2 linked regions of the Neodiprion lecontei genome follow. The protein of the gene in region 1 interacts with the protein of each later gene in a pairwise test. Links are inferred from orthologs where the notes say so. Each region holds a gene or a part of one and is shown on either strand. Other genes may lie near its edges.

What was found.
Region 2: the proteins of activating transcription factor of chaperone (region 1) and CCAAT/enhancer-binding protein gamma interact in a two-hybrid assay, tested with the Drosophila melanogaster proteins (2 studies listed by BioGRID, with this or other methods). The link is inferred for Neodiprion lecontei from reciprocal best matches to the Drosophila melanogaster genes crc and Irbp18.

What each region holds. Positions count from the first base shown.
Region 1 is NC_060261.1:30,601,200-30,608,954, forward strand, and holds activating transcription factor of chaperone, read right to left. Parts: upstream 6,006-7,755; 5' UTR 5,849-6,005; intron 5,311-5,848; 5' UTR 5,216-5,310; coding exon 4,951-5,215; intron 1,525-4,950; coding exon 668-1,524; 3' UTR 66-667; downstream 1-65.
Region 2 is NC_060262.1:41,866,170-41,871,936, forward strand, and holds CCAAT/enhancer-binding protein gamma, read left to right. Parts: upstream 1-1,851; 5' UTR 1,852-2,009; exon of another isoform or gene 2,010-2,142; intron 2,143-3,236; coding exon 3,237-3,350; intron 3,351-3,683; coding exon 3,684-3,840; intron 3,841-3,929; coding exon 3,930-4,033; 3' UTR 4,034-5,183; downstream 5,184-5,767. Other genes in the region: histone acetyltransferase KAT7, read right to left, coding at 1-128, 606-638.

The sequences.
Region 1 (7,755 bases):
ACTCGAATTCTGACAATGTTACGTAACCGCGTCGGTTGAAGTGAAAGTCATGGACAAGTTTCAAGTATCGGTAAAATTATTTATTCTTCCGGTATACAGACATGTCTATAATATATGAAAATAATATTTTGACAATCTCTACTTGAACAACGGACATGCATCAAGTTGAGATTCATGCTAAAATTTGTTTGTTAAAAAAATTAATAAATAAATAAAAAAGACGATCGTATCGGGAGACAGCAGAGTTCCACTCAGGTGAGCTTCATAGGGCTGCTCTCCTCCTACAATCTACCTTTTTACGATTTTTTTTTTCGGATATTGAACAATCTGATGACGTACATAAAGTTTAGGATATCTAATATAATCCAAGGCAACCCACTTATGGTCAAGTCGACCGATGAGGAAGCAGCAAGTGGCCGTTCGCTCTCTTTAGGTATATAACATGCATAATTATACATTTGTGATAACGTACGAGTATTTGAATGAGTGTTAGTTACAAATACGCGATGCCGAAACTAGGTACCGCGTAAAATAAGGAATAAGGTTGTTAAGTACCAACTACTAGTATAATATATATATATATATATATATATACATATATGTATATATACATGTGTGTGTGTGTGTGTGTAAAAGCAACGATCGTATACAAGAGTGATCGAAGAAATTATTTCATAAGTCCCTTGGCTTTGAATAGGTCCCTCATCAGCCCCTTGAGGCAACGAATCTCCCGCTGAAGATCACCAACTTGGCCCTGCAGTTTCTCATTGTAATTAGTCAGCTCCTGTACCTCCCCCACGATCTCTTTTATTTCTTGCTTTTTCTTCTGCCTGTAACGAGTTGCTGCGTTCTTATTCTGCTCTTTTTTGCGGACCTTTCTATCATCTGACGGTGGACGGGAGTAAGGTTTGCGATAACGATTCTTCGACACAACAGGTGTTGACGTGGTAGAAGGTGTAGCTTCGGGTGTCCACAATGGATCATCATTGGAATCCTCCTCAAAAGATACACAACTCGTATCAGAGCTAGTGGATAGACTTGATGATGATATATTCTTGGCACATGAGCGAACTATTTCGTCGACTGCTGCCAATTCGCTTGCGACGTCCCCCAGTGGTTCAAGAGAGATGTTCTCAGCACCCCATTGCGACAATGGGGCGACACTGGGTAAGGATGGAATTTCTTGAAATTGATCCTCGGGTTTGACCACAGAAACGCCCTGAGTTTGAAAAGTTGGTGATAGAGATATCAGTATTTTGGAATTTGTTGTGTTGTAGAATTTAGCAGGAGGTGACTGTGGTGGAGTCAATGCCGTGACAGGAGCTTGGTAACAGGCCTCTACATCACCCAGTACACTTTCAAATTCCTGTAGTAGGGTCCGAGTTGTTTCTTGTTGCTGCAACTGCGTTTGCAACTTTATTGTACCTGATGGTAGGATGGGCTGGCTGATCCCATAGTCCAAAGGTGATAGTTCTTCGAATATTGGTAGGTCAGTTTTCTCTTCAAGCCAGTCAGCAGAGGGTTCTGTGGTGAGAAAATATAATATCCCATAAATACAAATGGATGTAAATATATATTTTCATGCTGTAGATATTCGCACGGCAATGGGCGATGGTGTCATTGTATATGAAAAGAAAAATGGACGGTAATAAATATCGCAAAGCCTCAAGTACAACAACAGGGATTTCAAATGACCGTCTGACGAATAAAACTGAAGTGTTGCAAATGAAAGAATAACATGATAGAGATCACTGTACCTCTAAAAAGAATTATCCACAGAATCCCATTGATATAATATAAGGTCCAAATAATAAATAAAATACTACATCCTTTAGAAAAAAATTGATCATCTCCATATCAATTATTTCCAGTTTAGTGACAAGCCTCTTTTTTCTGTCAGAGATGATTCAACCATAAGAGAAATGTGATAAGTTTTTTTTTTTTGGCAATTCTACATGAATTTTCAAGGTGTTGACCATTTTGTTCAATTTATAGCAGTATCTTATTCTTGTATTTAATTCATTCCTATTAACATAATTTCACTACTTTCACGTAAGTTTGAATGTGTGCTGTGTATGTGCATGTTTTGATGCACACCTAATACTATGGGCCACCCATCTGTCCATCAATCTATCTCTTTATCTTTGAATGTGTTAACGTTTACAGTAAAGAAATATACATATATATGGCATTCCAGGGACACTGAATAACAAGTAGCTAGAAACTTGTTCATATTTTTATAAAAACTTAAGAATTCTAAACAGCATAACCAGTTAGAATTAAATATACCTATGTATTAAACTGATAGGTGAATAGAGTTGCTACTATTTTAGTCGTAGAAAATATTCCATTCACATTGTAAATATGTGAGGATATTTTCTGCAGACAGTAATATTATTAAAACAAATACAAGTAGCTGCCATCAATTTGGTTGTAGGTTGTATGGACAACGGGAAGAAGATATACAAAGTGTTTTTCATAGCAGTTTGTTTATTTGATCATTGTATTGCAAATATATGAAGAGTAGAGCAAGTGCATCAGTGCCAAGAGAATAGCAATGATAGTCATATTCAGAAAATGTGAAGTACAAGATATTAGAATTTGACAACAGCTACTGGGTAAGGTTTGTTGTTCAATAAATAACACGTTAGATATATATTTCAAGTAGGATGTACTTTCTATTATGAATTGGTATTTGACTGGACGAACTCCATTCATAGAGATAGAGATTAATTTATTTGTTACAAAGTCAGATAATATTTAACCTAAACTCATCAGATTTCCGAACAACCAACATTTTGTTGATTTTGCTAAGAGCTCGTAAACAGTGACCATAGATTCCGAGTTAGAGGGAATACAAAAAAAATGTCTACGACAACCGCCAAGTCCCTGACCTACTTTCAAATGAAACTTTGCTTCATATTGCTTTTCATACTGATTAACCAGGGAAATAATCTCAACTTTAATAACGGGGGCATGAGAGGTCAGATAAGGAAGTATTTACAGCCAAAACAGTACTTAGAACGATATAATAAAAAAGGTATTTCGAGACCATATGGAAATTGATCTATAAAGTTATTAGTATAAAAAGTGGACATTGGTATATATAGGAATTCAAAAAGATTTTGCTGATGCACAAATAAAATAATTATATCTTTACTATTACGATAGATAATGTGACAATGTGTTGTGATGTGTGAGAATAATGAATGGGTCAAGGAAGTCAAGTAGGTAAATGTGAAGGACAGCTCGTTCAAATCACTTATATTACAGCTTACAAAATTGTTAATCGGAACATAATAAAATCTCGCGTTTACGCAAAACATTTAGTCTATCGCAGGTTCAACAGAATAATCGAGACTACCAAGAATTCCTTAGTAGTCTATCTGATGGTAAATATAACTGTACAATGGTAAAAATGAGACGTTTATATGCAATGAATGTGTATATAATCACTGTTTGTCTTAAACATTTAGTACAAATATAATACGAAACATACCACGGAAGTACAAAGTAGCCATAATTTGAAAGGGTTCGTTGTTCCTGGAGATTCAGAAAGATGACAAGCAGGTAATATGGCAACAGGGTTGAGACTTAAATTCTTTATTGAGATTGTCTTGTGTCGTGAGGGATGGAAGGAGGCAATTACACTATTTGATGGTCGTAATAGAATCTGTGTGCCAGCAGCAACAATTCAGCGTCTTTTGACTAATTTCTGAGAGTTGACGATGATTTCCCTGTTCCACGTGTAATGGTACGTGAACTGCATGCTATTGTATAACATTAGCATGCGCCAACATCGAGAGGCAGAGCCTATGTCTGATTTTCCTTTTAAAACTGCCAGTATCACCAAATCCAGATCAATGTAGGGTCAAACAACGTTCAACACTCGCCTTCTAGTAGATATTCAAACAGAGTCAAACATAACTTTAGCACAAATTCCTGTTAAACATGTATCTCGTACTTTGGGTAAAGTCTTACACGTTGTTTTACTAGCACATTATCAGGACAAGCACTATGTCTCTGAACATGGACAAACACTATGTTTTTGGATCGAAATATGGTGGTAAAAGTTGTGTGGGGTAAATGAATAACTGTGCAAAAAGTGCCGTATGTTGAAGAACTGCGTTCACAATATTGAATATCGGGTGTAAGTTATGCTGCTGGAGAAACCAATAGACACACCACACCAGGCTTACACAAAGTCACTGAGGCAAAGAGGAGTGGGACGTGTATCATGTGGCCTCTACACAGGAGACTCGCATACTTATCTGTGAACTTTCCCCCCTCCCGTTTCTTTATTGCCTCCATCTCCCCTTCCTTCAGCCTCTTGCCCTCACTTCTACCAAGCTGGCTATATAAAGGCTAACCAGTTTGTTCCACTCTCCACTTTTCCCAATTTTGTTTTTTCCCATATTTTTATTTTTCAGTCAAATTGAAATCATATAGGTGATGTGCGAAAAAAAAAAAATTAACCTCATGTCATATAAATGATTCAGAGCTGTAAAGTAAAATTAGAGACAGTTTTGACAAAAAACGCTGATTGAATTAAAGCCATAGTAATAAATGCTACGGCAAGAGATTCCCATTTAATCATTAGAAGAAATACAATATGAATTAGAAATATCATTTCTCCTTACTTCTTGCCATGCTGTATGAAGGGAATGGCGCAATACTGTCTGCGCAGATTTCAAATATTTGTGCTGCACTTAAACATATTATGTGTATTGATTGGATACCTAGTGATGGATATTGGTTGTCGGATTGTTTACTTATACTCAACATGGTTGAAATTTATTTACTATCAAATTAAAGTGTCTGGTTTGAATAAGCATAGCGTCATTTGATTGATGAAATGCAACGTAGGCAAAATGAAAAAAAAGGCAGTGAAAGTTTTTATACAGTTGTAAAAATAATCAAAGATATCTTTCGTTATCTTCCAACAATTACCTTCTTTGATAAATTCTTCCAGTTGTTCTAAGAGTTTAGTAGCCACTTGCGCTCGTGATGTTTTCTCGTCCGCCTTTTCCGCCTCTTCCTCGTACATGACCTCTTCCCCATTGTTGCTGAGATTTTCAATGCTATCAAAGCTCAGCCAATCATTGAAAATGTCAGAGGTAGAAGTTTCAATGGGCGAAGCACGGGAATTGGGTGAAGCCGGTGATGAGGGCTCCGCCTTCAATACCCAGATTTTCTGATATTGATCGGTAGACATTGTTGGTATTTATCCGATCAAAAGATATGCTTGGATTATTATAAGGAATTTGAGTCGTCTTAGCGACGTCGCTTTTGTTGAACGCCATGTCGGCCCTGTAAATAATAAATGTGTGTCAATTCAGCTTGTAAGTTTCTCTAAACGTTCGTTCAAATCTAGATTGGCAGTCACTCGCAAAATGATTTCATTCATCTGTTCACCACGCCCTCATCATGCAGATTTGGCGAAAACCAATTTGAGCCATTTGGCCACGGTGATACTTTTACTCACATCAAGAGAACACTCAATCTAATCCAAATAATTTTCATCACAGGTGTCAAACCGAATTGGATATATTCAATGCAATAACAGATGAGATGGAATAAACGAATCGATGATTCGTTTTATTACTAAACTGAAGTGTTCTCCAAACTAAAATGCTTAATTAGCTCCAAGAGTTTATCAACCAGGATTTCAAAATTGGGTAATACTTGAATTTGTAGCATGGAAAGCGTGCGATTTCGCAATCTGAGGTAACGTTCACCAAATGGAGGGCATGGCGGTTCTTTCTCAAGTACCGTTTGATGTGAGCATCTGTATCGCTGATGTTATAAAGCAGATCAAATAAACAGAATGAAACATATAGCAACTTACCCCATGGTTATTATGATGTGATGGCACACTTGCGTGTGCAAAGTCGATTACCGACTAGAAACTCATCTTCACCCCTTTTTTAATAGAGCCAATAATAACGATGTCTTCTTTTCTGGTTTCATGGATGGAGAATGACTGATTTCTACGAACGTTGAGTCAATGAATTTCATGGTATCAGAGTCGACTCCTATTCGGACGGATGGTTACCATGGAATTGAGTTCGCTATTCGGTCGACAGATGTCGGAACAAGGGACTATATTCACAAAATTCATGCTACCGGACGCTGCGCGCCAAGCTGTGGGTAAATTCAAACGCTTATTTTCAACTTGGACATTCACGGAAATATTTGGGGAGCCACGGATAGAATGAAACGAACGAGTACACGATCACAAGTTGTTTTTTATCGGATTTATGATGATTGTCTCGCAGTTTCGACCATTCACTTTACTTCACAACTATAAATAGATCGTTACATGCGTGGATGAATAAAAAATGAAGTCGACTAGCTCGTGTGCTTACTGGAGGTAAAACAAACTTCTATGGCTATGATGCCTGGACGCTTGATCGACGTTGTTCGCTATAATCGACTGATGTCGCACAGCTTTTATGCTATCAAAAGATAAACAAGGACGAGATAATGTGCACGCAACTGTCAACGCAGCGCGCTAATTCGTCGATCAGAGTATAAATTTGACATTGAACGAAGATTAACTACGCGGATTCAGTTTGGAATCCCGTAGCTCGTAACCTTCCAACACCGGCGCGGAATGTAAATATTACCACACAGCCGCTCCTTTGCAAACAGAACACCCGCTTATGCCTCACGTATACGTACAACCGTTGAATTATACTCAAGGTAGTTCGAATCCATTACCACGCGGTCTGTACGCGTATCAAGGATGAACCCCACAGGTGCGCAAGGAGCAAGACCGCTGACAAAATCAGTGCGTATAGTATGAATTACGGTATGCACAAGGATGTGAGATCCTAGCTGTAATAGATTGTTAAAGATCACCTCGATATTTTCCGCGAGATTTCGGATATTCTGTTCAGTTTTCAACGCTACAAGTTTCATTCCAATCTACTACTAGCGTGGACTTTCTTTGTTCCTACTATAGTCATGATCGATGACGATTTCACAGCCACAATGGCAATGAGACTTTATTACATGTTTGCCCTGGGAAATGCGAAACCCATCAGCTTCGACGCAAGTGCCAACTGCACCGCGCCTCGGCGGAATATTCGGCAGGTTCTTGCAGAGGTGCGAATTATTTGACAATTTTGAACCGAACTTAATTCAGTCTCGATTGATTGTAACGATTTGCGGATCAACGAGCGCTGAGGAACTTTGGAGAAGACATATATCCCGAATGCTATATTGCTTTGAGTAATTAGTATAATTAAGGAACCAATTTTTAAAAAATACCGGAACAAACTAGTTAGATCTCTTGAAGTCATGGCCGATATTGAAAAAAAGCTTACATCGCTTTGTTTCATTTACAAAGAATACAAGAAAAACCATTCGCTTTAACGGAAGCCTGTACGAATTAAATCGTCAGGATCGTAAATTACTGCATAGCAGTGAAGTTATAGTTAGGGAGAAATGTGACTTTCGCTTGCGCGGAGGAGTCAAGTGAATTCTTTTCCATACATATTGATGACAGACCCATTTGTACAGCGAAAATTGGTCGCCCTTTCAAATTCGTGTGCATTGTCAGTAGATTAACAATCAGTACGCAAGACACTCTGGTTACGGGTGTTGATATTTTAATTGTTAAATCAATGAAGATTTTTTTAACGTGCGGTATTGTTTCATATTTCTGTGAAAAACCGTAAAGTCTTCGATACATCTATCAAATTTGGATACCTTTAAGCACGCTCGTGAAAGGTTCGATTTTACGTCATT
Region 2 (5,767 bases), on another chromosome or scaffold:
ACCTTCCGACTATTCGCAGAACTACTGGAATTCTCAGAATCGGAAGAACTTGACTCGCTACCTGAACTCGATGAGCTGCTCGACGATGAGCCTGAGCTACTGCTTGAAGTTGATTCCGAGCTGGTTGTCTATTATGTATAACAAAAATATGTGATAACAGTAAATGAAGAATAAATGACATAAGATTAGTTGACCGTATTTTAGGCACATGCATTTATTAGACTATTTTTGTACTCTGTAGCGTCTACGACTGAGACAACAGGAGACCAATGCAGCCTGCGATCTAGTGTACTGATGTGAAACGTGCTCATGAAATATATCGTTCACATAATATTATGCACTGTAAATTTTACATCAAAGCGACAGACTGCACGCAACATTGCACCAGTTAAAAAATTGAAGGAAAATATGTATTATATATGTACTGTATTCGTAGGTTAGGTTAGGTTAAATGTATTTCGTATACAAGATATGTTTAATGTTGTATCAACGGAAAAGCGAAGAGAGTGGACCAAATTTCGGTTACGCAAAAGTTTCGTTGGTTGTGGAAATCTTACGCTCGAATCAAACTGTTTATATGGGATTTTATGTTTCAGGTTACGTACCTTTCGTTTGGGAGTCATTTTGGCAAGTTCCATCAGACTTTGTCATTTCTAAAGGTCATGTTCACATTTTGAAACGAAATATTGGCACAAGTGCACTTCTAACGAAAATGAAATCATGTTCTCAGCTTCACCACAAGCTTTTCATCAACTTTTCACCCACTTTTCATTACAATTCTAATTTTCCAATGACAAATCCCTTCTCCCCTCCTCCTCGCCCTCTTGCCATGTGTATTTACCGTTGATCGAGCACACAACAGACAACTCACAGGGTGCGCACATAGATTTATAAGTCTATGGGTGCGCACCACTGAGCTATGTGAAGATTGCTCCGCGAGACTGGCGAAGTCGACCATGCTTGATCACAAATTAGCGCGTCAACTTAAACATAGGTCTCTTATGAATTTCAATATAATCTAAGATAAATACAGGTTAGCAATCTTTTGTACACTCAAAATTGGATCAGAATAGTTCAGATTTATCTTTATTGTTAGTATAATAGGTATATTTAGAACATGCGTCGTTCATGCGTTCCAGCGTTGACTGAAGGATCTTTAGTTAAATGATAAATCTTCAGAAATGAAGATAATTAGGGTATATCCTACTAAAAAATGCCATCCTTGGGCAATTTTTTACTTACAATTAGATCTGGGAGCGAAGTGGGTGATTATCGGTAATATTAACAATGTAGGAGTTCCGCCGGTAGCGTTGTGTTTTCTATCTTCGTCCAAAGAGTGGAATGGAAAAGGATAAGACATTGATATCGGTACGCCAGTTGACCATGTCGGTATTGCGGCATGTGTACTCTTGACTATTCTTTGAATTGTCCATTACCTTTCAACTTTGCCGTCACGTGATCTTTGGTAGAATATAGTTACTCATTGTCAATGGTAAGGATATCGTTCCGAATTCGGTTGGGTATGATACATAGTCTATCTTTATCTACCACGTAAAATAGAAGAGGACACGATATGTCTCTGTTTCTCAGTTAACAATGTAAACTGCATACTGACCGGCCGTTCTCAATCAATTATTTTTATAGTCTTACACATAAGTGGAAAAATAGGCATGACAAGATTCTTCTTGTTTAATAACGGTTAAGATATTTGATAGGGCATATAAGTCAAAGTACTCTAGATCAATCACAGCTCAATTTTACTTTTAGAATTGTGCGAACTTTTTGAAATTTGAATGTGGCCGCCAATATGAGACTTGAATCAAACGCGGTGACGGCCAGACAGACGACAGTCGTTCACTTTTAGCATTGCGTCATCTCTGACCTATCCAATTGGATCGCAACAGTCGAGTTTATGGTGGCATTCAAGAACGAAATTTGTGTGTCAACAGCGAGAAGCAGCCTCAAATCATTGATAAGAAAACAAAGCGAATACCCTGCAACTGACGGTGGTGCGTATACTTCATTGATGGCGAATATTTGTGAAGTTTTCGCTTCTGATAGTGGGTTGATTGAAACGGTATGGCGTTATGGTCGTGCACTTAACTGATCAGTATTACGCATTTGAAAAACATTGACTCTAAAGTAAGTGTAACAATACCAAACTCCAGTTAATGAGTAGAGAAATTGTATTTCATTCCTGAAAATATAAATTCTGTTGTTAAAATTCTTCAAATTGCTTAAAGTTATTTGTAAAATTTCGATTTCCTCGAATGAAATGGCGGCAAATTTTGGCAACCCACGAGCGCGAGCAAGCCGCGTGTATCTTGCATCATCGCTTGATCAAGAACGCACACATCGCCATAAGTTTACGTAGAAGCGTGAAACACATGGGCAGAATTAGCGAGAACGCGTTTGGTATTCGGTACTTTTTGCATATTATTATGGTCATAGGTAATGCCGTAATGCCAAAATTATCAGATAACTTCTGTTGATTAGCAGTGATAAATCAATACCCAAACGTTGACTTGGGATGTTGATCTATGTACCACTAGAAATCAAAACCCGTTGTGAACGTTTTTCAAATTCTTTTACTTCATACCGATAATTGTCCTTGCAGAATTTTCTGAAACTTTTGAGAAATTACCTTACTAACATAATTTTGTACAAACTTTTGCCCACAAATTTCAGTAATGAATTAATCAACTATCAGTTGAATTGATATCATCGCATAAAAAATTGGTACGCTCTAGTTTATGACTTCATCCCGTTTAATTGGATTTAAGTTTTTCCCTCCAAATTAACTAAACCATACCAGCTAGAAATTGGTAATAACATATTTGATCAAAAAAATTTAGCGTCAGTTGAATGTATTCAAATCCTGTTTCCAAATTAAGGTATGAAAAATGTTCAAAGCATGGGGTAGTAGTCGCCTTGTGTCGTACGCATAACTGAGAGTATTTGCCAATTGGATATTTCATAGAGAACAATATACCTTGCCAATACGATCAGGGTATTCCACTAATTATCGTTGATACGTGATCAAATTTTGAAACATGGAATTTGCTTTTATTCGACCACTTCAAATCCTAGTTTCTGAGGTGCTCAATATTTATATTTTTTCAAATATATACCAGTAAAGACTGTATATGTTGTAAGATTTGCAAACCCTGAACAAATAGTATTTCTTCATATGAATCAAACGTTTTTAATAATAAAATCCGTTTTTCTTTTTCCAGATGGCACCCAAAAATAAGGAAAACTCCGGGAACCCGTCGAAAAAGTCGAAACGAGCAATTTCTGAAGAAGATGACGACGACGACTACAGGCGAAGACGAGATCGTAACAATCAGGTAGATGCAGATTCAGTTATGTCAGAATATTTATTGTTTGCGGGACAATGTACTTGCGCCACTTTTCTCAATAAGATAACACTACTGTAATATACAATCGTGGAGTAGAAAACGAAAATGTAAAATAGAACTACATCAGTGACTACATCTGGGACCCCTTCCTTCCGATTGAAATTTTCCCACTGATTCGTAAAATATTTTCATTTCTATAACATTGTGCTTACGTGCAGTGTTTATCAATGGTCATTATTGGACATTCTTAATGTAACAAATTTTCAAGTTGTATTTGCATCGATTTGACTTATCATATTTCCTTTGTTATAAAATCTGTAGGCAGTAAAGCGTTCAAGGGTAAAGAGTAAATTACGAACGCAGCAAACTTTGGAGCGAGTTAACCAGCTGAAAACAGAAAACGAATTGTTGGAGGAGAAGATCAAGATGCTAACCAAGGAGCTTGGATTTTTGAAAGACCTGTTTTTGGCCCACGCAGGTATGGAGTGCATATCGTGATAAGTTTTGTCTTGTACACTAATTATAACAACAAATCATGCGGTATAGTATTGGTAATTTTTTTCTCAGGCTCCAGTCAACACCCAATCAATATTCAGGACCTAGATTTGAACGCATTGCTGTCAGAAGATACGAAGTCTTCCGACGATGTAAAACCAACAACAAAGCTGTAGGATTGAGGACCAATTCACGTGACTATATCAAACTCGGGGTATTGGCACGGCCGTGCTTTAATTCTGTCTGAAATTACAACCAAACGGACAACGGTTGGTCCTTTTGATTTGGTGAGAAGTTAAGAGCCTTTTCCTCTTCCTCGCCCTCTTTTGCCAATCCTGCCGCTCTATGAAAATATTTTTGTTTATTTATGTCTATCTTTAGTCAACGCTAATGCAAAAAACCAGCATTTTTTGAACTTATCATGTAAATCGACATGGGAAAGGGAGCGTCTCTCTTCTCACTGTTGGTGTTAGAGATCTCCTTGAGAATCACTCCTCATTGCACTAACAGTTCGAGCGTGATTCCAAACCTTGCATTACAACGAAGAGATTAGGTTGGGCACATTCTAAACGAACTGTGTGCCCCTCAAAAACACATTACACCTAAATCTGCCGTCGATGCTGCAGGAAAGTATTTTTATACGGAGTGCAACATGAATTGCAACTCTGCCTATGTTCCCAATTCGGAAGGAATAAAAACCACATGTATACTAGCGTATATGTATACATTATTTTATACGAATTTGTCGTCTCCATCAAGGTAAAGTTTTCGTTTTAGAAATTATCTACCTATCGCGAATTCGGTAACTTTTTTTTTACGTTCATATGTTCTATCTGCAGACGGTAATAATACCGTAAAATTTTTATGGTCTTATATACATATGTGTATGTGTTGACGATAATATGGTATGATAAATCGTAGTATTAGGTGTGGCCCTTTAAATCTATTTACTTACGACGTTCATTAGTAAGTGCTAGTAAGTACCACATTCATCGCAGTCGATGGGCCGTGAATATTTGTTGCGCGGATCAATCTTTCTTCCTCCCTTCAATCATTGGTTAAGATCAATGAATTAGAGTTGTTTTACAACTAATTTTATCTATGTTTGATAAGTATCAGATCACGATTTTTTTTTTATCTAAAAATCGAGTGTACTGGTTGTCAGCGCGAGTATAGTGTATACATATACATATCTGTATTAATAGACTACATTTAATTTTATACAGTGAGTTGTAGGTAATTATACTTAGTGTACACATATGTACATGCATAGCATATATTTCTGTAAATAATAATTATACTTATAATATAACGAGAAAAATTTAATTCTGTATTGTTATTTCAACTTACGCAGCTAAAAACATGCAATATTCGCAGATTATGTCGCCCTCACATTCAAACTTATCAACTGAAAAAATCTATCTTTGGGAATCTAAATTGTTCAAAAAGAATGCTGTTATCAGCTTAATGTACGGCATATGATAAGGTAGAATTAACAGCGATCCAAGAGAATAAGATCTAGTTCGACATGAGCTTCTGATTTTTAAAAGGAATTATCTATCAGCCAATTTAACTGATCATTGAATCGCCGAAATATTCTTCACTCAATGAATCGAGATAGAGGTTTCTTTTGGGCAGAAGAAAAAAAATCGGAGCGCCAAAGTTCAAGCGTCGCGGAGCGATTTCCTTTTCCAATGGTCTCACTGTCAGTGTTTCAAGTGGTAAAATTGTAAATCTTAATCTGGTGATTAACAATTTGCAAAATTCGAACTCGAGGAGTTTTACGGGGCTTGACCATTAAACCAAACTCTGGCTGGCGACGGAAATCGGCGCTGGCCTAACATCAGAGCTGCGGAGTCTCACGATTGGCGTAAAGGCGGTAAGGTGACTTCTTGTCCTAATTCGTACGT